Linked DNA regions of Caenorhabditis elegans. The protein of the gene in region 1 interacts with the protein of each later gene in a pairwise test. Each region holds a gene or a part of one and is shown in the gene's direction. Other genes may lie near its edges. The genes, in order: pal-1, mrpl-16 and tor-2.

Region 1 (7,891 bases):
AAGTTGTTTCAATTAGATACTTGGTTTTTTGTAATATGTTTTAGTTTTAGTATATTTGGTATGAAACTCCTTACAATTGGAGATGATGTTCTTTTTTCCAATGTTCCACATTTTCCTAATAATCCGTTTTATCTTTCCTTGAATACATAAACACATTCTCTTGAAGATCATACTAATTGTTTATATCACAATGTGCTCTTCGTCGGGCTCGCGTCAAAAGATGCGCGAAAAGAAATGCGACACCTCCTCCTCCAACTGGGTCGGCGTTAGGCTTTTTCTTTATTCCTTCCGCATCACGCTCGTAAATCGTGGTATCAAGCTGAGAAGGGCCGTCTTTCTCTGGCTTCGGTATCGGTATCTCATTGCGAAAAAAGCAAAGGATATAAGCACTTAAATTATACAAAAGATTATACATTGTTTGGTGTTTTGCCGCACAGTAATCCGCAGTAAGACAATCCAAGTGGTTGCGCCACCCGTCTGTGAGAAACCAACAAAAAAGTTTCACAAAAGTTTGGAATACCTGGGTTAAATTACATTTTAAAAAGTTTCAGGAAAAAGTACATTCTGCATTTTAGATTTTTTATTTCGTTCATGTTTTGGTAAATTACCAAATATTCCAACAACGTTTTTTTTAGTAATTTAGAGAAATTTAGAATTGAAATATGAATATAAAGTTATTTTTTTGATTCGTTTAAAATTATAGAAAGATGCTTAACAATTTTAGAATATAATCCTCCAAATAATCGGGGAAAATTCTTCAATTGATAACTTTCATACTGTATACTTTCAGAATGCAACATGTTATCTTCAGGCCATTTAAATATTTTTCTATATTTTGAAACTAAATTTTAATTAAAAATATAGGCACAACATTCTGAAATAGGCTATTTTGTAGAAGTGATGCACACACAAACTTTGGCAGATTGTATCTCAGCTGCTATTAGTCTTAATATCAAAAAATGGCAACAAGAAAAATATGTTTTATGTATTTTTCTCTACGACATTGCTGTTGAAAATTTGTTGATATCTTTCAAATGCAGAGAGATATGAGCTTCCCAAAAGAGCAACTACGGCAAAAAATAAAAACTGTATTGTAAAAAATTTTCAAAAATTTGCTTTGAAAATTTTTTTTTGGAAATATATTCAGAATATTCTTTTCAATTTCATTGAAGTTTTCTAATTTTTCCCTTTAAAACAAAATGTTTTTAAAAAACGAAAAAGATGAACTTCCGTATGACCTCACGTGCCTCTTGAAGAGATGGGCGAAGCAACGTGTGCCACGTTTTTCGTCAGAATCGACATTCTCGATTTTAACAGTTCACTTTTTCACCTTTTCCTCTTTCCTTTTCAGCTTTTGATTCGGAATTTTTTTTATTAGAACGTGTTCACGCTATTCTTCTCGTTGGGTCTCGCCACGATCACTGTCGTTTTAGCTGCTAAAAGTGCAAATCTTCACAAAATCATACATTTCAGGATGAGCAAGCCAAGCACTCCAGCTCCAGCCTCTGCTGACCAAGTGAGTTTTTCATTTCATTGTACCTAAAAAATAATCGTTTTCAGAATGGCGATTCCGCCACCCGACAGACTGCCCAGACTACTGAAACTCCCGCGAGTTTGCTTTCTGCTGTGGGAAATGGTGCACCGAATATGGCGGGATTTACCCTCAACCGCGATATGGTCCCATTCTTCCCCTACCAACTCCAAAATCCGATGCTCCAACCACCACAAAACTCTTTGGAAAATGCGGTTAGTACATTGACTTTTACAATTGAGCCATTACTGAAATGGAATTATTTTTCAGATTGTGCACTCACTGGGTACTCTGGCTGCTCAGTCATCCATGTTTGGGCAGTTGTGTGAGAAGATGCTAAAAGCCCAAGAAGAAGCTCGCGCCGATCAACGATCCATTCGCGAAGAGCATCGAGCTGAAAGAGAGAAGGCCGACGAGCGGAGCCAGCAAAATATGGATAAGATGATGGCACTTGTCCATTCTCTCGTGGAACGTGTCGATAGGAGCCACGCTTCGTCATATGATGTGGTTGGTCAAAAGAATCCATCGTCCAGCTCCCTCAAACCAGCGAAAAGAGTCAAGTCTGCCGTTGTTCGTCAATCCAATTTAGCCAAGCGGACCGGAGCACCTGTTGATGCTGCAAAGGAGTTGAAAAAGATTCGAGATGAGGAAAACAGAAACCATGGACGATCTGCTGAAAGGTAATTCTAGTTGTGTTTTTTTTTTCAATTTAAATGAGAGTTTCAGAGATAATGTGTTCATCGGTGCAGTGCTGGTGGGGAAAGGATCTCAGTACGATAAGGTAAGCCTGAAAATTATAAAAAATTAGTTGAAGTTGTTTTTCAGGATCTTGAAAAATTCAAGAGCTTCCGATGCAGGACCTGCAATGAAGTTTCCCAGACGAAGGAGCAGCTCGTGGATCACTTTTCAAACAACCACGCCGGCGAACTTGGGGCGAGAAGGTCACTGCGAATAAAGCAGACCTCGTGTTAAATTTCTTTTTTAATTTATATTCGTTTTTGTTTTAAAATTTAAGCTTTTTTGATACAAATAAATTTTATAGTAAATAAATCTTGTTTCTCCTACCAGCTATCTAACTATTCCCAACAGTGGGTGGCAATAAATACGAGACGCGGCTCTTCTCACGGCGGTATCATAGATGCACAAAGAGCAAAACGATTACGCAACAGACAGCCGGGTCATATTCAGGTCAAACTTGATAGTGCATGAAATCGAGTAGTAAGCGACTCTTTGATATTTTCAGATGCTCCATTTGTTGTTCTTCATGACAGCTGCAGAGTTCCCAGATCGTAAATGTTTAATGTTCTGAAAGAAGGTACATAATCAGTCAAAGGGCGGTCTCATTGTTGCCTTTTATATCAAATCTTTGGAGGACAAATTGTCGATTTCAGCAACATTTTTTGTTAAGAATCTCCAACTTTTAGAATAACTATTTAATAGATCACTCGTTTCTGATAAGAGAAATAATTCTCTGCTACCGTAATCTTTGCTCCACATGAACCTGTCAGTCATAAATGCTCATTCGTATCGTACTCAATTAAACTTTCATCGCTCATTTATTTCCTAATGAACATCGTAATGGAACCTCAATTCCAGATGGGCTCAATGGCCGGTAGACTTACTATTATTTGGGCGAGTAGATCAAATATGAGGTGAGTGATCTATTTTTCAAATTATTTTAAAGGCGGGATCTCATTGAAATTAAATTTAGTGGCTAAAATTCTTCTTTTCTTAATTTTTGGCTAGATGATTTTTTCTAATCTTTTTCAAAATTTTATAATTTTTAAAATATTTATTTAAATAAAAAGATATTTAACAGCAAGTTAACTATTGAACAATAAATTAAATAAAAATCTTCGTAAATCGACAAGTGGAAAGTGCGCTCTATTGAGCTGATCAGTCAGTAAAAATTTTTCAGTGTTAATTTTTTTCTGTTCTTCATTTCTGTTGAGTTTTAACGTTTCTTTTATATTTGTCTTGCTAATTTCAATGCTAAAAATCAATTCTAAAAACGCATATTTTATTAAAGTAAGAAAATCCATCTTCGAATACAGTCTCGGACAGTTTCCTGCACAGACCAATAATTTATTTCCCAACGAACTGGGCGTTTTTGTTTCCTTGCCGACCTGTCTCATTGTAAAAGTGATATGTTTGTCTGAAAATCGACGTGTGGCTATAAATCATTCACAATTCCCTCTCCCGTTCATATCTGATAAATCCCGCCTTCCCAAGTGCTCAATGAGCCGCAGGAGGCGGTGCCGGGTTGCCAGCTCGTTATTTTATTGCTATTCTCATCAAATCTCGAAAATCTTCCTTCAAATTTTGAATTTTTATTACTGTTCACTTTTCTCTATATAAACTGATAATTACTTCCTCGTTTTCAGAATGTCGGTCGATGTCAAGTCGGATTTTTCGGAAAACGAGTCCTCATCAACACCTTCACCAACAACAGTTCCAGCAGATGTCACGTGGCCTCACTATCCAATGATGCCATTCATGCAACCACATCCTCTGAGGCTAGATCTTCGAAATTTTTATTTGGAATCTCAAAATCAACGAAAAATTAAATATTTCCTGTTGGTGTTTCATTACGACCAAGTGAACAAAATTAAATACCATAAATATTTAATAATCCAGCACACACACATGGTTGTAAATCCATGCCCTTTCTCTTATTTATCTCCTTCAAAATATTTGCTAACCATGTATTTATTCTCAAATATTGTCGCCTTTTTGATGATAGAATTTGTTTGAAAGGTTATATGCAAATTTTCGATCTATCCGGAGGGTACGGTAACGCCCCGCCTCCACAGTGTATTGGAAGACATTGCTCCGCCCATTTCCACCGTTGGAATGAAGCGGGAGGGTGTCTAAGAGGTAATAGGCGTGTGTGTGTGTATCAATTGACAAGAACATTTGATTAAGGAGGTGCTATATTTTGAAGTTTTTCTTGTTTTTTTTTTTCATTTTATACTTAATTTTCTTTTTTCAGAGAAAAGATGCTGCAACCAACATTTGATCCACAAATCTATGGAAGGTGGTCACAAATGGGTGATACTGGTTTTTACGTACGTTTTGAATGAATTTCCTTAAGGTTTTTTATTTAAAAATTGAATTTCCAGGGACATCCGGATCTCTATCCATTCGGCCTTCCACAACTCGCTGCCAACGGACAAATTCCAGCAGTAGAAGCCGTTGATGTGAAGCCACCGCTTTCGAATGGAAGTAGCAGTAGTGATAGTGGAATGTATCCATCACCGAGTGATATGATGACACCGTTCCCATCAACATCATCTGGAGCTGCATCTTCTTCAGAGCTTTCAGCAGCTGCTGCTGCTGCAGCCAACTACCAGATGAGAGCTGCCACGTGTTATCAGCAATCTGTTTGGCCGTTTATGGATTATCAACAGGTAATCATATAAAATTGTATTTTAATACCTTTGTTGGCTTTTATAACACCAAAAAACATAATTTCCTAGCGAGACTTTTCAAAAACTGTTCACATTTTTTATGACTCTAAATTGTTGGTACAGTTTTTATTGAATTTTATTTTTTATTGCATATTTTAGGTACGGCTACTCGCGTTTATTCATTGATTTAAGCAGTCTACTTCCAAAAATTACAAAAATTCAGTGCCTATCGGCTTAGAACGCGCCTAAATCAACGAATTAACACGAGATAAATTACCAAAATATGCAATGAAAAATGAAAACTTACTAAAAACTGTATTTCAGCTACTAGACAAGGATAAGTTGATAAAATTTTAGATTTCAGCATTTTTGGCTCTTTTCGATATTTTAAGCTGCCATAAAATTAGGAAATTCTGTCGTTTGTGGTAACTTGTCTAATAAATATCTCTAATAATGTCTAATAAGTCTAATAAAGCAGCCAATTTTTGATCTGTTAGTTCTCCTCCAAGTGAGCTTGTTTTAAAGATAATTTAAGTTTCAGGGATTCTCGTGGAAAATGCCTCTTGGAAACAATCATGGAAAGGATCGAAGATCAAGCAGTGATGGGAAAACATTACCAACGGGACCTGGAACGAATAGTAAGTTTTCAAAAGAGTCTCCCCGTGTGCAAACAATCTCTCTTCAAGTGAAAAAGAAGCCGCTATCAGTCATATTTATCAGTAACTAGGACAAATGAATTGAGTATTTATGATTCCTTTCCCATCAATTTCCCATTTTATTACGAGGGAGTTTGTAATTAAACTTATTTTCAGATGTCCGTGTACGAACAGCTGACAAATACCGTATGGTTTACTCGGATTATCAACGCCTTGAACTGGAAAAAGAATTCCATACATCGCCATTCATAACATCAGATCGCAAGTCCCAATTGTCGACGATGTTAAGCTTGACAGAACGACAAATCAAGATTTGGTTTCAAAATAGGTAGATTCTTTTTTAAACTCACTGCCTAAAATGGGATGATTGATTACTACAAATTTGAAGACACCAAAATAATATCAAGTTTTCTTGATTTGGCACAGAGATGAAAGGCGGTAAAGGTGATGCGGTGTATGAGTTACGGTGCTTACGCAATTCGACCCGTGTGGCAGGTAGCAGGAGAGTCTTTAGCCGTGAAAGAGTGTTAGAGTGACCTCAATTTATATGATGAGAGGTGGCAAATTGGGATTGTTATGGTGTGAGATGTCATATTAATAGATCTGAAAGTTTAATTTGGTTTATTGGAATCATGAGATTAGACTTCAAATATTGACACATATTTCACAACGTCATTTAATTAACAGATGATGTTGCCCTCTGCAAATCTCATTTGAATTCATTCATTCCGCGCCCTTTCGAGCCAAATACGTTGTTTGCTGTTTGCTGTTTGCTTACTCTTTCTCAGGCTTTTCCAGGGGACTCATCACAATGACTGTCACCTCCTACTGTAACCATAGGAAAAAGTACCACCACACTTTCGTTCTTTAAGATTCAGTTCAGTCCACGCGCGCAGTAGAGATAGTTCCAAGGAATTAAAGAGTCGTAAAGTTGTGTAATTGGAGGCCACAGTGTTTGAGACGTGCTGGTGGAGGTGAGGAAGAGATGAAGTTTGTTAATTGGTCCGTTTACGACTTTCTAATTGGTATTACTGTAGAAGAGAGGTGGTCACTGCTTGCATGTGTGGCTATCTACGCGTTCGGGGATTTGGAAATTAACAAGGGAATAGGATATCTAGTGCGAATTTCCAAGTTATTGGGATAAAACACTTCCCGTAAAGTGCTACTGTTAATCTCCTTCACTCGCATGTTAAAGGGAGAGTATCGTTTGTAGGTTTGCAAAAAAATATACTCAAAATGCCCCAAATTTCAAGTTTTTGCCTTTATTTAATTAGGTGAGGTTCTAGCTCAATGAAAGAGTCTACAGAAATGATAAAGCAAGGGTTTCTGACCAGCTCGCAGAGATATACCAATTATCTGCTCAACAGTCGTTTTTTTTGTTGTCTGTTGCCTTGTTTGACAATATTAGTGCGCATCGAAAGATTTACGAGGGGAATAGAAACGTCGTCGGCAGAGATTCCCAGAGTGCTGTAAAATGGAAATCAATGTGTGTGTCCCTTTCCTGTAGCGTCCCAATCCAAACAGACATACATACTGTGTTGGACAGACGTGACCGCCGTTTTCCTGGGAAGAGGTAACATACGGACGAACCATACCGGTCATTGTATTCATTAAAAGAAAGGGAATATAAACCAAAAGATTGATGTTCCCTATCCCTTTTCTTTGAAAAGCGTATTTTTTTTGAATTCACCACTGGGACGGCATCTTTTTGATCTCAATATATTCTGATAAATTGTTAATTTCCGTAATAATACTGTAATATTTTTAATTGCAGGCGTGCAAAGGATCGTCGTGACAAACAGAAGATTCGGCTATAAGTACTCATCTACTTACAAAGAAAATGTACAAAAATTCTGGGAATTTTCATATTTTTCTAGAATATTGTACACATTTATTATATTTTTACATTTCTCTCGCTTGAATACGGTTAAATTCACACTTTTATATAATTTCTTCCTGTCCCATCTCCCATTCTCTCACATCAGAATATTCTAATCATCACTGCCCTTAACATATATATATATATATTTATAACTTTCCGATCATTCCTTCTGCTTTGTAAACTAATCCAATCATTCTCTAATGAATTATTCCCTAATATAGAGCTTCTTTATTTATTGTGATTTCTTGTTTCTTACCCTTCTCAAGGTTTAGGAAAAAGTTTAGGTCCCCATTTGTTATGTATTTACTTCCCACTCTGAACGGATCCATTTTGAACATGTTTTCTATTTTTTGGAAAAGTTTAGAGAATTCTTTGCTTTTCTCACATATCTTGATTGCATATTTTTTATAAC
Region 2 (7,312 bases), 100 kb from region 1:
GAGATGAATGAGCAATCAGAGATAACCGTTTGTTTTATTGTGTGGCAATCAATTGAGAAGATTATCGTTGGATTTTCGAATAATTCACTAACCCGTTTCCAGCACTGAATAATGAAAGTTTAGAATTTAAAATTAAATAAAGTAAACCCACTTTTAACTTCATCCTCTGTTTTTGTGTTAAACTAATTTTCCCTTCAGGATCCGTGAATTTGCCTTGTTGACCTTTGAATTCATTCACTTTGTCGTAATTGTGAAATGGAACATAAAGTTTGTTGTTAATATTCGAAGTTGTGAACAAGACTGCCAGTTCTTCCTTTGTGAATTTTTGAGAATTCGATGGAGAAGGAGGAAAATTCCGAGTTGGAGATTTAAATGGCTGATTTGATGGAGTGGAAGGAGACGGTTGATTATTGAAATTTAAATTTGAAAGATCTGAAAAAGAATAATTTTCAAATTAATATACAATTCTTAATTCCAACCATCTACTGGTACTTCTGGAAAAAGCAATTCCACCTCTGTGACTTTCTTTTTCAAAGCTACAAGATCTTCTATACACTTTAATGCATTTTCGGCGGTGGATCTTAGTCTTTTTAATGTTTCCTGTGGAAGAGTTCGATTTCTTGAAGCTCCAAGGCATTGCTCTACAACGTTCTCGTATACTTGTCGAGCTTCATCCACTTGGTTTTCGTAGTTTTGAAATACTGCGGCTTTCACCATCAAATATTCAACATTATGCGCTATGTCATCTGTTGTTGGAGGATACTAAATGATTTAAAATAAATAAATATTCATTGTGACCAAAACTTGCTTGTTGTTGAAGGTTCTGGATATTTGATTTTAGGAATTCTGCTCGATTTATGCATTCCATTACATTTTTTCGAAAAATTGGCAGACATTTCTTTTCCTGAACTAATCTGAGCAACTGATTTCCAGCCTCGGTATAACAGAAAATCGCTTCTTCATACTTTTTACCCTGAAAAATTACTTTGAGATTTCGAAATCAACTGATTGATCAAACATTTTCGACAAAAATTAACTATTTCAGCAAAAAAAGCGATTTAAATTACCTGATCATAATATACGGCTTTTTGTGATAATTCGAACGCGGATTGTGTTGCCTTTTCATCCATACGCTGAAAACAGGAAATACTATTTCAAGAAAAAAATCTGATGATGCTGAAATTGTTCAAATAAAAATGAGAAAGTGTCTGTGCTCTCTGCGTTTTGTACAGTCTCTCGCCTGTAAGTTCAATGGAGCGCGGTTGTATGAAATACATTTATTTTATTTTTCCAACTCATTTTTTTTTCAATATTTGAAATTTTAAACTTAGAACCTTTTTCTGGCTTGAATAATCTTTAAAACGCATATTAATCACTTTAAAATATAGAAAATTCAGTAATTCAGTTAAGTTTTTATGCCTCAATGTAAATTATCCCTGATCTCCTTTCCAAATTGTTATTTACTTTGATCAAATTGAACATTTTTGTGTTTTACGAATTTCTTTTATTTTTTTCAGGTGATGATAAATCTCAGATGTGTATGTCGGGCTCCAGTAGCCAACTTGACACAGTTCACTCGTGGAATGAAGAAATACTCATTTCCTGTAACGTATGAAAGTGAGTTATTTCTTTTCTTTATTTTGAAGACTATTAGAATTTTTAACAACTGCTTCTTCATTCTATCAATTTCAGATGTCCGATTTCCACCAAATGGACAGTTGAAGCTACCAGTGATGCCAGCTGAGCCATTTTATGATGCCGAAAAAGGAGAGAAAAAGTAAGAGTTTTATCTCTAACCTATTGATAAAAGTAATTTAATTCAGATACAAGTCAACAAAGCGAATGATTGAGGCGAGAGGAGTAGAAGAAGTACATACAGAACTTATTCACGAGCAGTATGGCCTTGCTGCTGTATCAGGAGGATTCATTGATAGTGATGACTTCAAATTCATTCAAGATCGAATCAATAAAAATCTTATTGACAATCAGTTTTCTGTCTGGCGAGTTGATGCACCATGGCTGCCGAGAACAAAAAAAGCACAGGGAACTAGGTTAGGAGGTGGAAAAGGATCCATTCAGAAGTATGTGACACCAGTAAGAGCAAATCGTATTATTCTGGAAGTTGGCGGGCATATCACTGAAATTGAGGTATTGTTTATCATCTCAAAATCTCCCGAATTCAATTCCATGCTTAACATCTTATAGGCGAAAGCATTTCTCCTGTACCTTTGCGAACGTTTCTCATTCCCAGTCGAGTTCGTAAGTGAGACAATGCTTGCAGAAAGACGTAAAAAGGCTGAAGAAGAACGTGCGATGAACAAAAATGGATTTAATTGGGGTAAAGTCATCAAATACAACATGCAGAATTGTAACAGTTGGCTTTCAAGCTACGATGTCGCCTGGAAAGGAAAATATCGATAGTCCCCAAGAATTCTCATGGAAATTTTTTTAGAAATTGTAGTCTTGTTTTTATTTTTTTGAACTTTTTTGTTGTTACTATGAAGATTCTCCTTAACCTAAATATTCAAAGAGTATTATATTTATGCAAAAAGCTTGATTGCGCAGTCTAACACTGTATCTAGATAATTTTCAATTTATTTTTAAAACTAAATATTTCAAGTCAGCCGATTGGATGGCATTTGGAGACGATGATATTCTTTCAATCCCATTCAAGTGAGTTTTATGCACACTTTTATCTTCAATTTAATGTTTTTCTTCCAGGTATTTCGTTATCTGTATCGGAGGTCTACCATCTTCAGCACTTTTAATATGTGTTATATTATCTCTTCTACTGCACTTTGATCAGGCAACATCTACACATTGTGAAGTTGCCAACTGGTTACCATCCATATCAGCTGCAGTCTCAACGTATACACCTGAAAAGTATATTTGGAGAATTCTAATCGGATTGCATATTGGACCCCGATTGGTAGTTGCAATTGCATTCAGAAACTTTTTATTGGGATCTCCTCTACGACCTCTTACTGGACATAAAAGGCTTCGGTTTTTGTGCAATTTGGCTTGCTTTCTCAATCTTCTAGAGAATTTCTTCCTTCTGGCATTAACATCGATTTCATCAAGTGAAGATCACTGTAAGAACTAAAATGTATGAAATAGTTAACTATTTTTAAATTCAGCTCTTCATGCTAAATGCTTCGGTGGATTTGCTATTTGTTCGATTATATACATGCTTTTGAGCACATGGCTTTTCAATGAAACTGGAAGGAGAACTGCAACAAATTTGGTAAGTTTGCTCACATAATCTTGAAAATTAAAGAGATTAGTAAATAAAAAAGTAAATATTATCTAGACACGAGTAGTTTCGCCATAAATACAGTACTCGACACGCCTTTTTTTCTGTAAAATACAAACAAAAGATGGATCGATGAAAATTCTACAGCAAAAAGGTTTGAAGCTACAGTAATCTTCATAGGCGCACATCAGTTTGTATTAAAGACAAAAATGTCGTGTCCGGTCACCGTAGTTTTGGCAAAATCTGGCGTCTTGAATAACAATTTACGAAAAAAACCTTTATCCCCCAAGTCTAACTATTTTCATAAATTTTTATTTATTCTCCAAAACTTGTTATCTGTGAGAAATTAATTTAGAAAATTAATACTGAAATTGCAGGGTCAACGTTCGCACGAATATAAAATCCTGGGAGCTGCTATTTTCGTTCTATGCTTTTTCCTTGGAGCATATCTTTATTGGAGGCATAACACGTACTGCGAGCCAGGAATTTACACGCTCTTCGCACTTGTCGAGTACTCTGCCGTTTTATCAAACATTTTCTTCCATTGTACTCTATATTATGACTTCCATGGCAAAAATATTGTGTTAACCTCATCGTTTGGAGGCGGACACTACAACCTTCTGCCAACTCAAATCGATAAGGATACGTAACAATTGATGGGTCCTGATGTGATGACAGTTTTATTGCATGATATAATAATATATATTTATTTATTCCAATATTTATTGTTTCGAAAAGCTTCTAATTTTTCGGTTTGCTTCGGGTTTTAAAAATATGTTTCACTTGCATTTTCTCATATAAATGGTTTTCAAAAATATTTGTTTTCACACTGAAATTTAGAAGCAAATAGCCTTACCGTGGCATTCTAGTCTTCACGCGACACCCTAGTTTACAATATGCAAAAATTGCTCCCTCCTTCGTCATATGAATCACTTCTACATTTGAATCAATTTCTCGAAAATTGTAACGGAATCGAATCGTTTGCCAAGTTTACCAGAAAGTGGCCACTATAAGATGAACGATAAGAAAACTGAGAACCTGGGAAAGACCAAGTCAGGAAAGCAAATTATGAAACCTGGATACGATAAGAAAGAAGGTCTTGGTATGGTAAGTATAACTCTCGGCACACGGGCGCCTTTATCATCAAATAATGGAAGAACCGAAATGCGTCCTTCTAACACGGCCATGTGTCAATTTACGCGGCTCGTGTATTCCTCGAGGAAAAGCTGCACATGACTGTATTTGAACTTCACACACTTTCAAGTTGATTTTTTTAATATAAGTTTTTGTATACATATTTAGTCTGGAAACGTTTGTCTCGGTGACCATGTCGTTTTTTAATACATGGCCGTGGCCGCGAAACAGAAAACTCGGCCACCTTCATGAAATGGTTATGAAGCATTTTCTGGAAAATCGGTTTTGCAACACTACCTAATAATATAACTTTCAACACACGTTCATAGAAGAAAATTCGAGTATCCTCATTCGCCAGCTTGAAAAATGTGTCGTTATGAAAGAGCAAACTCGGCCACCGATTTTCGCGGCCACGCTGCAAATGCCCCCGCTACCACAGGAATGTTAAAAATTTTCAGGATCAAAAGGAAATTGTTGGAGATGACAAGAAAGACAAGGAGGCTCGAAAAAGGGAGAGAAAGTTACAAGATGAGTTTGCTGAATTGAAGAAGGACGAAGAAAAGGACAAAGAAGAGGCGGAAAAAGAAAAGAATGAAAAGGAAAAGAAAGAGGAAGAGAAGAAAGAAGACGGACATGAAAAGAAAGAAGACAAGAAAGAGGATAAGAAAGAGAATGAGAATGATGAGAAAAAGGAAAAAAGTAAGGATGACAAGAAAGAAGAAAGCAAAGAGGATAAAAAGGAAAAGACAAAAACCGAGGATAATGAGGGAAAGAATGAGGAGAAGAAAAAAGAAAAGAAAGAAGAAAAGAAAGATGAAAAGGAGAAAAAGGAGAAGACAGAGGATGATAAAGAGAAAGAAAAGGAGAAGACGAAAGAAGAGAAAGTCAAAGAAGATCCGAAGAAGGATGATAAAAGTGGTGTGGATACTATCAAGAAAGAAGGATCAACTGCGCCAGCATCAACTGCTTTGGTCCCACCTCCTCCACGTCAGAATATTCGTAAGTGGTCCTGTTACAAAGAACTATGAGAATAAGATTTTTTTTCAGCGCCTCCAACACCACGTCGTCCGCCTCCAAAAAAGAAGAACGCGTGTTGCGTCGTGCTTTGATGGCAACTCGTATAATAGTACTGTCCGGGGTCTAATGAAGAGTTTTAATTTGTAAAAATTATTTTGACAATGCCCAGTGTTCTGCAATATATGATTTTTTTTCTCAATTAATGGGAGTGTTGTTAAAAATTCCAAGGATTCAATTATATAATCGACTACATTCTACTTTGAATAAAAACAATACTCGGAAGTTTGCGTCTATGTAAGCAAACGTGTTTTGAAAAGTTTCCATGGAGATTGGAGGCACATAATTTTTAGAATCATTCATATAAACTTGCTTCTTTCGACATTTTCCAATTATTCCACAATCCTGAATCAGGAACCAATTGCACTATTTAGTTAACTGCTTTAAACGTTTAAAATTATCCAACAAAAAATCGTTTTAATAAGTTGTTCCAAAAACATTTTACATGATCACATCACTAGATTTTCCTCCGATCTATACATCCATAGATAAAGTCAGTCAAGACATCACTGGTTTATCAATAAAAAAATATGCAAATGACTCCCTAATCACCAAACATTTGAAGGATATATCTACATTTCAAGAGACATCGTTTCCAGTTTCCGTACTTCTCAGAATTCGTTTCCCATGGCACTTTGCCATTCTTTTCCTCTTCTCCTTCTCTCCACATTCCAAATCGATGTTCTTCTTCTTCTTCTCGTGTGTGAGTGCTCCGTTGAGCTTCAACTCCGCCCACATATTTCTCGTTTGCTCTAGTAGTCTAGTACGTCTTCACATTTCTCTGTTTTTGCCCATTTTCTCTTCTTTTCCAGAGAAAAAAGCCTCCACGCTCAACACATCCAGAATTTTTGTTCGATTTTTAATGAAACTCGTGAGTTTTTGCAGAAAATCCGTGGAGCAATGTCGTTGAGCAAGCAGGAACATCCAGATGATCGTATTTCGGCTCTAGACTTTCTTGGAGGACATCTCAAAATTGGAGTTACTAAACCAGTAAGTAGCTTATAGTTGGTTGAGGCAATGTGTGCTTTACTAATAGGAAAATAACCAGTTCTAACAAACTCCAAACTAGTTTTGAATTATTCCATCAGAGCTTCTGTGTAATCATGGAAATTTCGAGCTACCTATGCCTTGTAGGCTCATAGCTAGGTATTCTTGTGCCTGCTTGTAGGAAGCATTGTGATTATTCAAAAGCTCAAATCTTTACGACCAAATTGTTTTTCAGGAATTTTCGAAATAAATAAATGTTTAAACTTGGATTTTTAGAACATCACCCCCCCCCCCCCCATGGTGGCAAAATGACCAAATGTCATTGTAAAAATTAATTTCAAAAGGGTAAAATGAAAGTTGGCAAAAAGTTTAAATAACATTAAAAAGATTTCAGTTTTTAATTTTTTTTGGTATATTTTGAACAAATCTCAATTAGCGATAAATACTCTACTATTATGTGTGAAACTATAATTGACTTTATTTATTAAATGACACAAAGAAACATTCCAAAACATCACTTCAAAGTTTGAAAAACATAGAGACCACGTGATATGTAAAGCTTTATCAGAAAATAGGATAATTTTAAATTAATTAGTAACAATTCGAACACGGAATCAAAAAACACAAAAACTATGTTCCCATGGAAATCTTTTTCTGATGTCATTGTGTTCTGCTTTATTCATTTTTCATCCAAAGTATCAGTTTCAAATTTCAGCGTCCCCAAATACGTTTTGATTTGTCGAAACGTCATGTGGATTTTGGATTCAACATCAAGCAGTTCTTCACGACTCGAATCGGAAAACCAAAAGAGTTGAATAATGAGAAGTTGGCGGTGATTCAGGAAGTAATTGAAGAAGAACAGGT
Region 3 (7,891 bases), on another chromosome or scaffold:
TTTCGAATAAAACAATGTGTGATTAAAACAATTTTATTAAGTAGTGTGATGTTATAGAAACCCAAATTAGTTTTTTGAGAAAGACGACGACTATGAAAAGTTTCCGGTCTGTAAATCTACCAAAAACCGGTAAACTTTCGTTCTGGAACATCATGGGAGGGTCTCACAACAAAACAAAAAACATTTGAATCATTTTTTATATCCTTAAAACATATAAAATATTGATAATTGAAACATTTTCTACTTATTCTAATATTTTATTTATTTTTCCTAAAATAAATCTATCTACTCCACTTATCTCTTTGGTGTCTTCCAAACATTGCATTGATTGAAAATTAAAAAACTGGAAGCTGGAATTATATCTTAATTTTTTGAATACAACTCTCAATAGTCCAATACAACTTGTGAGCGCATTTGAAATTTAACAACTGTGCGAAACAGTGATTTTTTAAAATTATTTTCGTAACTGTTTTTAAAATTTTTATGTTTTATATAGTTTTGAAAACATTGGAAGATAAATAATAGCTAGCTTTGCTTTCATTTAATTTTCCAGGCACCAAGAGAGCACAAAAAACATTGCAGAATAAATTTAAGTCATTTGAGCCAAGTAACCAATTGTTTTTTATTTTCTAGCCTTTTGAGGTTACTAATTGGAAGTTGATAATTTAGAAATTGGAATTAATATAAATTTTTAGTGAACAAAATTTCTGCATTAGAACAAACTTGTAAGCGTAGTTGGAATTTCACAACTGTTTGAAACAGTGCAAATTTTTTTAGATTTAAAAAAAACTTCTGTTTCAATATTTGAATAAAACATTGTGTGATTTAAACAATTTTTCATGAAATATGGTGATGTTGAATGTGTGGATCATTAAACACTTTCTACTTACTCTAATTGTTTATTTATTGCTCCTTGCATAAATCTACTCTACTTATCTTTTTGGCGTCTCCACAATTTGATTAAAATTGAAAAACTGGGAATTGGAATCAAATCTTAATTTTTAGAATACATAACACATTCGTGTTATGTATTTTGAAAATATTAGGAGTTTAGTAATATTCAGTTTGTTGTGGATTAGGCATTTTAGGTACCAAAGGCAGCGTTTTTTTTAAAGTTATTTTCTGAACATTTTTCTTATTTGACAAATGAGTTGTGTATAAATTGTTATTTCACAGTATCCTCCCATATTTACAGTTTTTGAATATATTTCCCCATTAAAATTCAAAATAAAATTATGCTGTAAATAAATCAATAAATTACATTTTTGTTTGAGAATCACACTATATAATTTTAAAACATGCTTGTTATCAGGAATTTTCCGCTTACATTGATAAATGTGAGTATTTTCAATTTTTTTTACTGTTTCTAATTGTTTATTTGTTGTTCTCAAAAAAATATCTACACTACCTTTGGAATCGATTACAAACTAAATTCTTTTTTTTTTTGAATGGTAATTTGATTTCCTATAAATCTGTTCATCAGTACTTTTGTAATAATTGTTTAAATGAAAAATTTTTAGTAAGTCACTTTTCGGTACAATAACAAACTGTTTCTAAATTTCTAAAGAGTAATTGAAAGATCACAACTATTTGAAATAATATAATTATTTTTGGATTTTTTTTGATAAAATTACTGATTAAAATTGCAAGATTAAATTTTAAACCGGTTAACTTGCTAGCTACTCTTGTTTTAGTTCCCAGAGAGATATGAAAACTTGTTTTTTCTGAAACATCTGTCAAAGCTGGAAAACATTTTTTCGGAAGGTCTCCTAAATATGCGCTTCAGGCAGCGTTTTTCAGCCATTTGTAACTGTTAAATTTGATATAAAAAGTTTGTTTCGCTGTGTCGAAGTATTTTTCCATATTCACATTTTTGAATACAATTTTCCCATAGTATACGTCAATTAAAATTTTGTTTCAGATTTCTCTTGTATGGCTTTGAAACATTCATGTTTATCGAGAATATTCTGCAAACATTGATAAATGTGGAACTTTTTTCTATTGTTTCTAATGGTTCATTTATCGTACCCAGAAAAATCTTTCTACTGCCGTCTTTGTTTTGGCTTTTAAAAAATTTTTATTGAAAATTGAAAAGCTGAAAATTGGAATTGAAACACCATTTTTAGTCGAGCAAATTTTTTCTCCGTAAAAAAACTGGTAATTGTAATTGCAATTTGACACCTTTCTGATAATTTGTTTATTTTTAATTCTATAGCTTTTTATATTTCCAAAACTTGTATGTTTCATATAGTTATGAAAATATTGGAAGATTAAGTCTGTCCCATTCTGTGCTTAGCCGCGTTATCAAAAAAAATAGTTTTTCAGGCACCAAAAAACACGCGAGTCACAAAAAATAGAACTAATTGGAATCTTAAAAATAATTGGAATCTCTTCTTTCTTTGCTCTACAGAAAATGGACTAGGTATATATTATCTTAGGAAATTCTGACGTCACAATAGTATCTTTAACAGTGTTTTAACAACATTTGAAAAATCAGAAACTTCCAGAGCAAAAGGTTGCGGCACTTCCTTGGATCAAGCACATATGGAACATAAATAACATACAGTTTTACTTTTTCAACAAAAAAAAACTCTGCTACTTTTATAGATAGCTTTTCTCGATTTTATAAGTAATTTCATTGATTAATCGACCCATTCATCGAATTCCTCCACAAATCATTTTCAAAACATTTATTGAATTCGTTAATTACTGAATCTAATGGCGTGTTCATTGTCAACATCGTACAGTTTACTTTTTTTCAATTGTTTTTTCATCCTAGGAAACTGTGCTTCAGAAAATTTAATTATAATTGATTGCACATTATAAAAACATGCTTTCAGTTACCTATAGAATCTATTACAAACGCAATTCATAATTTGAATGGTCATTTGATTTCGCACAAATCTGCTCACCAGTAATCCCTTTCCAATTGTTTGTGGGATTAAAATTCCAACAATTTCACAGTTTATGTTACATACATCAAAATTATTTCTGACCTATTTTTGCATTTTTGTGATGAGAATTTATGTTTTATTGTTGATTCTTTTTCCAATCGGCAGTTTATCACTGCCAATGTTTTTAAAATGGTTATTTTGCACATGCTGTTTTGAAACGGATATATTCGATTATCTTAGTGAGTATAAGATACAATTTGAACAAATTAGACTCTTCCGGTGGAAAAAGTGAATACTTAAAATATTTACGCACCTTTTAAGCTTGAATGAGACAGTTTGTACTTTTGTAAAAAAAAGCCAAAAGAAAATCTGTATTGAAAATTTGAAAGAACTCCCTTTTTGAGTTAGTACTTGTTATAGTTTCCCATTTCAGAGCTACACAGAGATCTTTCTAGATTTATTTATGGCCAGCATTTGGTAATAGATACTGTGGTTCGTTCAATCAAATCTCACTGGCATAATGAGCATCCTCAGAAACCGTTAGTTCTCTCATTTCATGGTGGGCCGGGTACTGGAAAGAACTATGTGACTGAAATCATCGCAAAAAACACTTTTCGGTAATTGTTCAAGATTTTGCATACTTTCTGAAAAAAATGCATTAGTGTTTCAGAAGTGGACTTCAAAGCCCATATGTGAAGTATTTTGTTGCAACAAAGGATTTTCCAAACAACAAACATATAGAGGATTATAAATTGAAACTAAAAGAACAACTAATACAATCTGCCGACGGATGTGATCGATCCATTTTCGTGTTTGATGAGGTGGATAAATTACAAAGTGAACTGGTTCAAACAATCAAACCTTTTCTTGATTTTTATCCAGCCGTTTTTGAAGTTGACTTTCGAAAAACTACCTTCATTTTTCTAAGCAACAAAGGAAGCTCTGAAATTGCGAACATTGCATTGGAACATCGTCGAAATCTTAAAAAACGGTCACAACTCGAGTTGAAGCATTTTGAACGAACACTTATGTCACATGCATTCAATGAGAAAGGTGGTCTACGAAACACTGAATTGATCTCTAATCAGCTTATTGATCATTATATCCCATTTCTTCCCTTATCTAAGTTCTACGTTTCCCAGTGCATTCAAGTACATCTTCGAAAACGCGGAAGACATGATTTGGCAAAGGATGGAGAATTCATGCAAAGAGTTCTCGATTCTCTTGAATTTTTCCCTGAATCTAGCAAGGTATTTTCCTCGTCAGGATGTAAACGTGTAGATGCAAAAACTGAACTAGAAATTTCCAAGATGGGATTCTCACTCAATTCGGAGAAAGAGTTTAATGATGAGTTGTAGTTTTTTTTCTGTTTCAAAATGTCCAGAAATTTGTTTTCATTCTAAGTGTTTAATTTTTTTGTTGATTTAGCAACATTTACAAAATTGAATGAACTCAATGATGAGTTGTAAATATTTCCCCTGTTTCAAATTGTCCATAACTACGTTTTTATTGTATTCATTTTATTATTTAATTTTGCGAGTAGAAAATGATTTTGAACCAGATACTTTTACCTCCACCAGGTACTCCACCTTTCATAAGTTAATTAGTTTTTATTATCTTTGCATTAAGCTTGAACTGTAGTAACTGCTCAAAATAAAATTGAATTGGTACAAAAATGTTTTTGAATAAAATCAGCCCTTTTGAAATGAAAAAGTTCGCTGAAAAATGGTTTCTATTGAAATTTAAATTCTATGTTCAATGTTTCTTTATCTTCAAATTTCGTTATCAGTGCATCAATCTATTTTTCGGTGTGATTTCTCATGGATATTTTGATGTTAGCAAGAATACGCAGATAACAAGCGACATCTTCTGTTCCATTTCATTTTCCTTTACTTCTCACTTGTCAAATATTTTGTTTTATTCTGAAAGAAAGATGCAATTTTTTAAATATATTATTTTCGTTATCATTCTTAATCAATTAGTCGTCGATGTCCACAGCTTATCAATGCCAATGTTTTTAAAATGTTTATTTTACACTTGCTGCGGTGAAACGGATATATTCAATTATCATGGTGAGTAGCAATATTTTAAGAAATTCAGTCAAAATTCAGAACACCATGCAAATTGTTTCTAATGTAAAACACAGCTATATACAAATTTTGAGTTGTGCTCCGTGATAAGGAGCATTTTTCGCACTTTTTTTTTTGATACTTTTGAAAGAAAAACCGTTTATTTTTTAAATATTTTTCTAAACTTTACATTTCAGCGTTATACAAAGATTTCGATAATAAAATTTTCGGGCAGCACTTGATGGCAGAATCTGTAGTTCATTCAATCAAATCTCATTGGCACAATGAGCATTCTCAGAAGCCGCTAGTTCTCTCATTTCACGGCGGAACCGGCACTGGAAAGAATTATGTGACTGAAATTATTGTGAACAATACTTATCGGTAACTTTTCATTGCTTAAAATTTTTTTGAGAAACAAGTTTATGTTTTAGAAGTGGAATGCACAGCCCATTTGTGAATTATTTCGTTGCAACAAATAATTTTCCGAATAAAAAGTATATTGAGGATTATAAATTGGAACTGAAAGATCAACTTATAAGATCGGCCCGAAGATGTCAGCGATCTATTTTTATATTTGATGAGACGGATAAGCTACAAAGTGAATTGATTCAAGTGATCAAACCATTTCTTGATTATTATCCGGCGGTCTTTGGAGTGGACTTTCGGAAAACTATCTTCATTTTTCTAAGCAACAAAGGGAGCAAAGAAATTGCTAATATCGCATTAGAACATCATGAAAATGGTAAAATAAGATCACAACTCGAGTTGAAGCATTTTGAACGAACACTGATGCTTTCTGCATTCAATGAAGAAGGTGGTCTTCGTAACACTGATATGATCTCTAATCAACTTATTGATCATTTTATACCATTTCTTCCCTTATCTAAGTTCTACGTTTCCCAGTGCATTCAAGTACATCTTCGAAAACGCGGAAGACATGATTTGGCAAAGGATGGAGAATTCATGCAAAGAGTTCTTGATTCTCTTGAATTTTTCCCTGAATCTAGCAAAATATTTTCCTCGTCAGGATGTAAACGTGTGAATGCAAAGACTGATCTCGAAATTTCCAAGATGGGATTCTCACTCAATTCGAAGAAAGAGTTTAATGATGAGTTGTGAAAGTATTTTCTCCTGTTTCAAGATGTTGATAAATTTGTGTTCAATATTTTTTATGGTTCGGTGTTCTCTAAGGCTTTAAGTGGTTTGAAGTTCCAAATACTTATTAATTTGTTAATTTATGCATGTTTTTCTTTTTTTTAAATATCATTATCATCCTCAGATGACTCCGCGGAAAAATAGTGGAACGATGGGAATGGAATTCAACAAGAAAACTCAGTGTGAGTTTTTAAAGTTTGTAGAACGCCAAAAAATTTTGTTTTCTTTAATTTTTTAGGCAAATTTAGAATAAATTAAAAAATTGTAAACTTATGCAAAATTAGATTCTAAAATAGGTAGCAATATGTACACAAAAAAGATAGCAAAAAACGTAACGCCTGCTGTAGGTAAGGCCTATCTAAAAATCTACCTACAATGTAATCCGTAGTTTTCTATTCAGAAATGTAACGATTTCCAGATTATTCGCAATGCCAATTCTGCACTTTGAAAATTTGGTCAAACACGGAAATTGTTCTTGCTGGTGGAAATGTAATTTGCAATTTGTGCATTGCCGAAAAAAGCCGTGAGTTTTTTCCCCTAAAAGTCCAGAAATGTAACTATTAACAATATACATGCTACTTCAGATGCCGTTCAATTCGACAGAAAATATATGATCAAAACATTATCAAAGACATTTTCAAGAAAGTGGGAAATCTCGAATAATTTAATAATGACACTGCTGATTCTTTTGCTCTCTGCACTTTTTTTTATATCTCAAGGAACTTTTTCAATGCTTCAAAATGAACCAAACCAGGTTTGATTTTTCCACATAACTTTGTTCCTTTCGACAAATAAATTTGCTTATTTACAGGATCGAAACCCCTACCAAAACTACATAGAATCAGTAAGATCCTTTGTCAATTCGGATTTCTCAGATATTTCAAAAGAAAATCGGAATCTTTTGAGATTAATTGGTGAACAAATGTTTTTACATCCAGATGAACATGCTCCGCTTGTCATAGTTATTGCTGGTTTGAAAGCTAATGAGTTTTCTGAAAAATTAAACAAGGCAATTCAAAATTCTAAATCAGAGACAAATTCAAATAATTTACCAATTGAAATTGGAAATCAACTTGAAAGAGGAGAGCTACATGCAATATTGAACAATGGTTAGTTTTTTTTTAACTGTTTCACCAAGTTCATTAATTTTGGGCATTTTTGACACTTACGTTATATAGTTGTAAATGTATTTTTCCGAAAATCTCTTGAAATTTATTTCACTTACCACTTTAGCTCTCGCATCACAAATGACACCTAGAACAGCAGTCCTGACAAATATTGATCTTCTTGCATGGGATGCAGTTTTAGTGCTCCATGCCTTTGCGGACCATGGAACTTTTCCCATCCCAAAAACTGTACTCCTCCTAGCAGTATCAACAGAAGAAACTACTTATTCTGGGAATAGTTGTGATGGGAAAATTTTGAAGTAAGTGATTTTTATTTTTAAAATAAAAAGCAATTAAATTCCAGGCTTGTAACGAACCGCTGGATCGAAAATGGAGGAAACTATGACAATATTCCACCAATTGTAGCCAGGATTTCATATTTTATGTGCTTATAATAAAAATTATTTGTTTAAAAATTTAGTTTTTGTTTACTTGGAAATTGTGAAAAAATATGGAATTTTTAAACTTGGTTACTGCAATTTTGTTCACCGGGAAAAATTACTGTTTCAAAAGATTTGTTTAATTGAAAATCCTCATGTTTATTTGGTTCCTTTATATTAAAATTTTGATTAGAAAAATATTATTCACGAGAAAACAAAACAAGTTT

The links.
Region 2: the proteins of pal-1 (region 1) and mrpl-16 interact in a two-hybrid assay, tested with the Caenorhabditis elegans proteins (one large-scale study listed by BioGRID).
Region 3: the proteins of pal-1 (region 1) and tor-2 interact in a two-hybrid assay, tested with the Caenorhabditis elegans proteins (one large-scale study listed by BioGRID).

Annotation. Positions count from the first base shown.
Region 1 is NC_003281.10:4,804,734-4,812,624, reverse strand, and holds the start of pal-1 (Homeobox protein pal-1), read left to right. Parts: upstream 1-3,915; 5' UTR 3,916-3,916; coding exon 3,917-4,047; intron 4,048-4,523; coding exon 4,524-4,599; intron 4,600-4,653; coding exon 4,654-4,941; intron 4,942-5,265; exon of another isoform or gene 5,266-5,414; intron 5,415-5,476; coding exon 5,477-5,579; intron 5,580-5,753; coding exon 5,754-5,925; intron 5,926-7,371; coding exon 7,372-7,414; 3' UTR 7,415-7,891. Other genes in the region: C38D4.7 (C2H2-type domain-containing protein), read left to right, coding at 1,475-1,516, 1,561-1,746, 1,802-2,211, 2,258-2,312, 2,357-2,503. UniProt on the Caenorhabditis elegans protein: Transcriptional activator. Interacts with promoter regions for tbx-8.9, tbx-9, elt-1, hnd-1, scrt-1, and vab-7 genes. Binds the sequence ATTTATGAC. Binds to the enhancer region of the hlh-1 gene promoter during embryonic body wall muscle development.
Region 2 is NC_003281.10:4,702,887-4,710,198, forward strand, and holds mrpl-16 (Large ribosomal subunit protein uL16m), read left to right. Parts: upstream 1-1,517; 5' UTR 1,518-1,520; coding exon 1,521-1,617; intron 1,618-1,692; coding exon 1,693-1,777; intron 1,778-1,823; coding exon 1,824-2,148; intron 2,149-2,205; coding exon 2,206-2,421; 3' UTR 2,422-2,521; downstream 2,522-7,312. Other genes in the region: clp-2 (Calpain catalytic domain-containing protein), read right to left, coding at 1-104, 152-432, 480-762, 809-973, 1,068-1,130; pgap-2 (Post-GPI attachment to proteins factor 2), read left to right, coding at 2,633-2,673, 2,722-3,092, 3,138-3,244, 3,631-3,903; T04A8.13 (G-patch domain-containing protein), read left to right, coding at 4,268-4,360, 4,846-5,386, 5,435-5,496; T04A8.18 (F-box domain-containing protein), read left to right, coding at 6,362-6,451, 7,164-7,310.
Region 3 is NC_003282.8:13,980,875-13,988,765, reverse strand, and holds tor-2 (Torsin), read left to right. Parts: upstream 1-4,624; 5' UTR 4,625-4,905; coding exon 4,906-4,966; intron 4,967-5,160; coding exon 5,161-5,344; intron 5,345-5,394; coding exon 5,395-6,082; 3' UTR 6,083-6,130; downstream 6,131-7,891. Other genes in the region: tor-1 (Torsin), read left to right, coding at 3,073-3,133, 3,328-3,511, 3,565-4,252; gei-18 (GEX Interacting protein), read left to right, coding at 6,243-6,300, 6,537-6,641, 6,703-6,872, 6,930-7,227, 7,352-7,544, 7,589-7,679.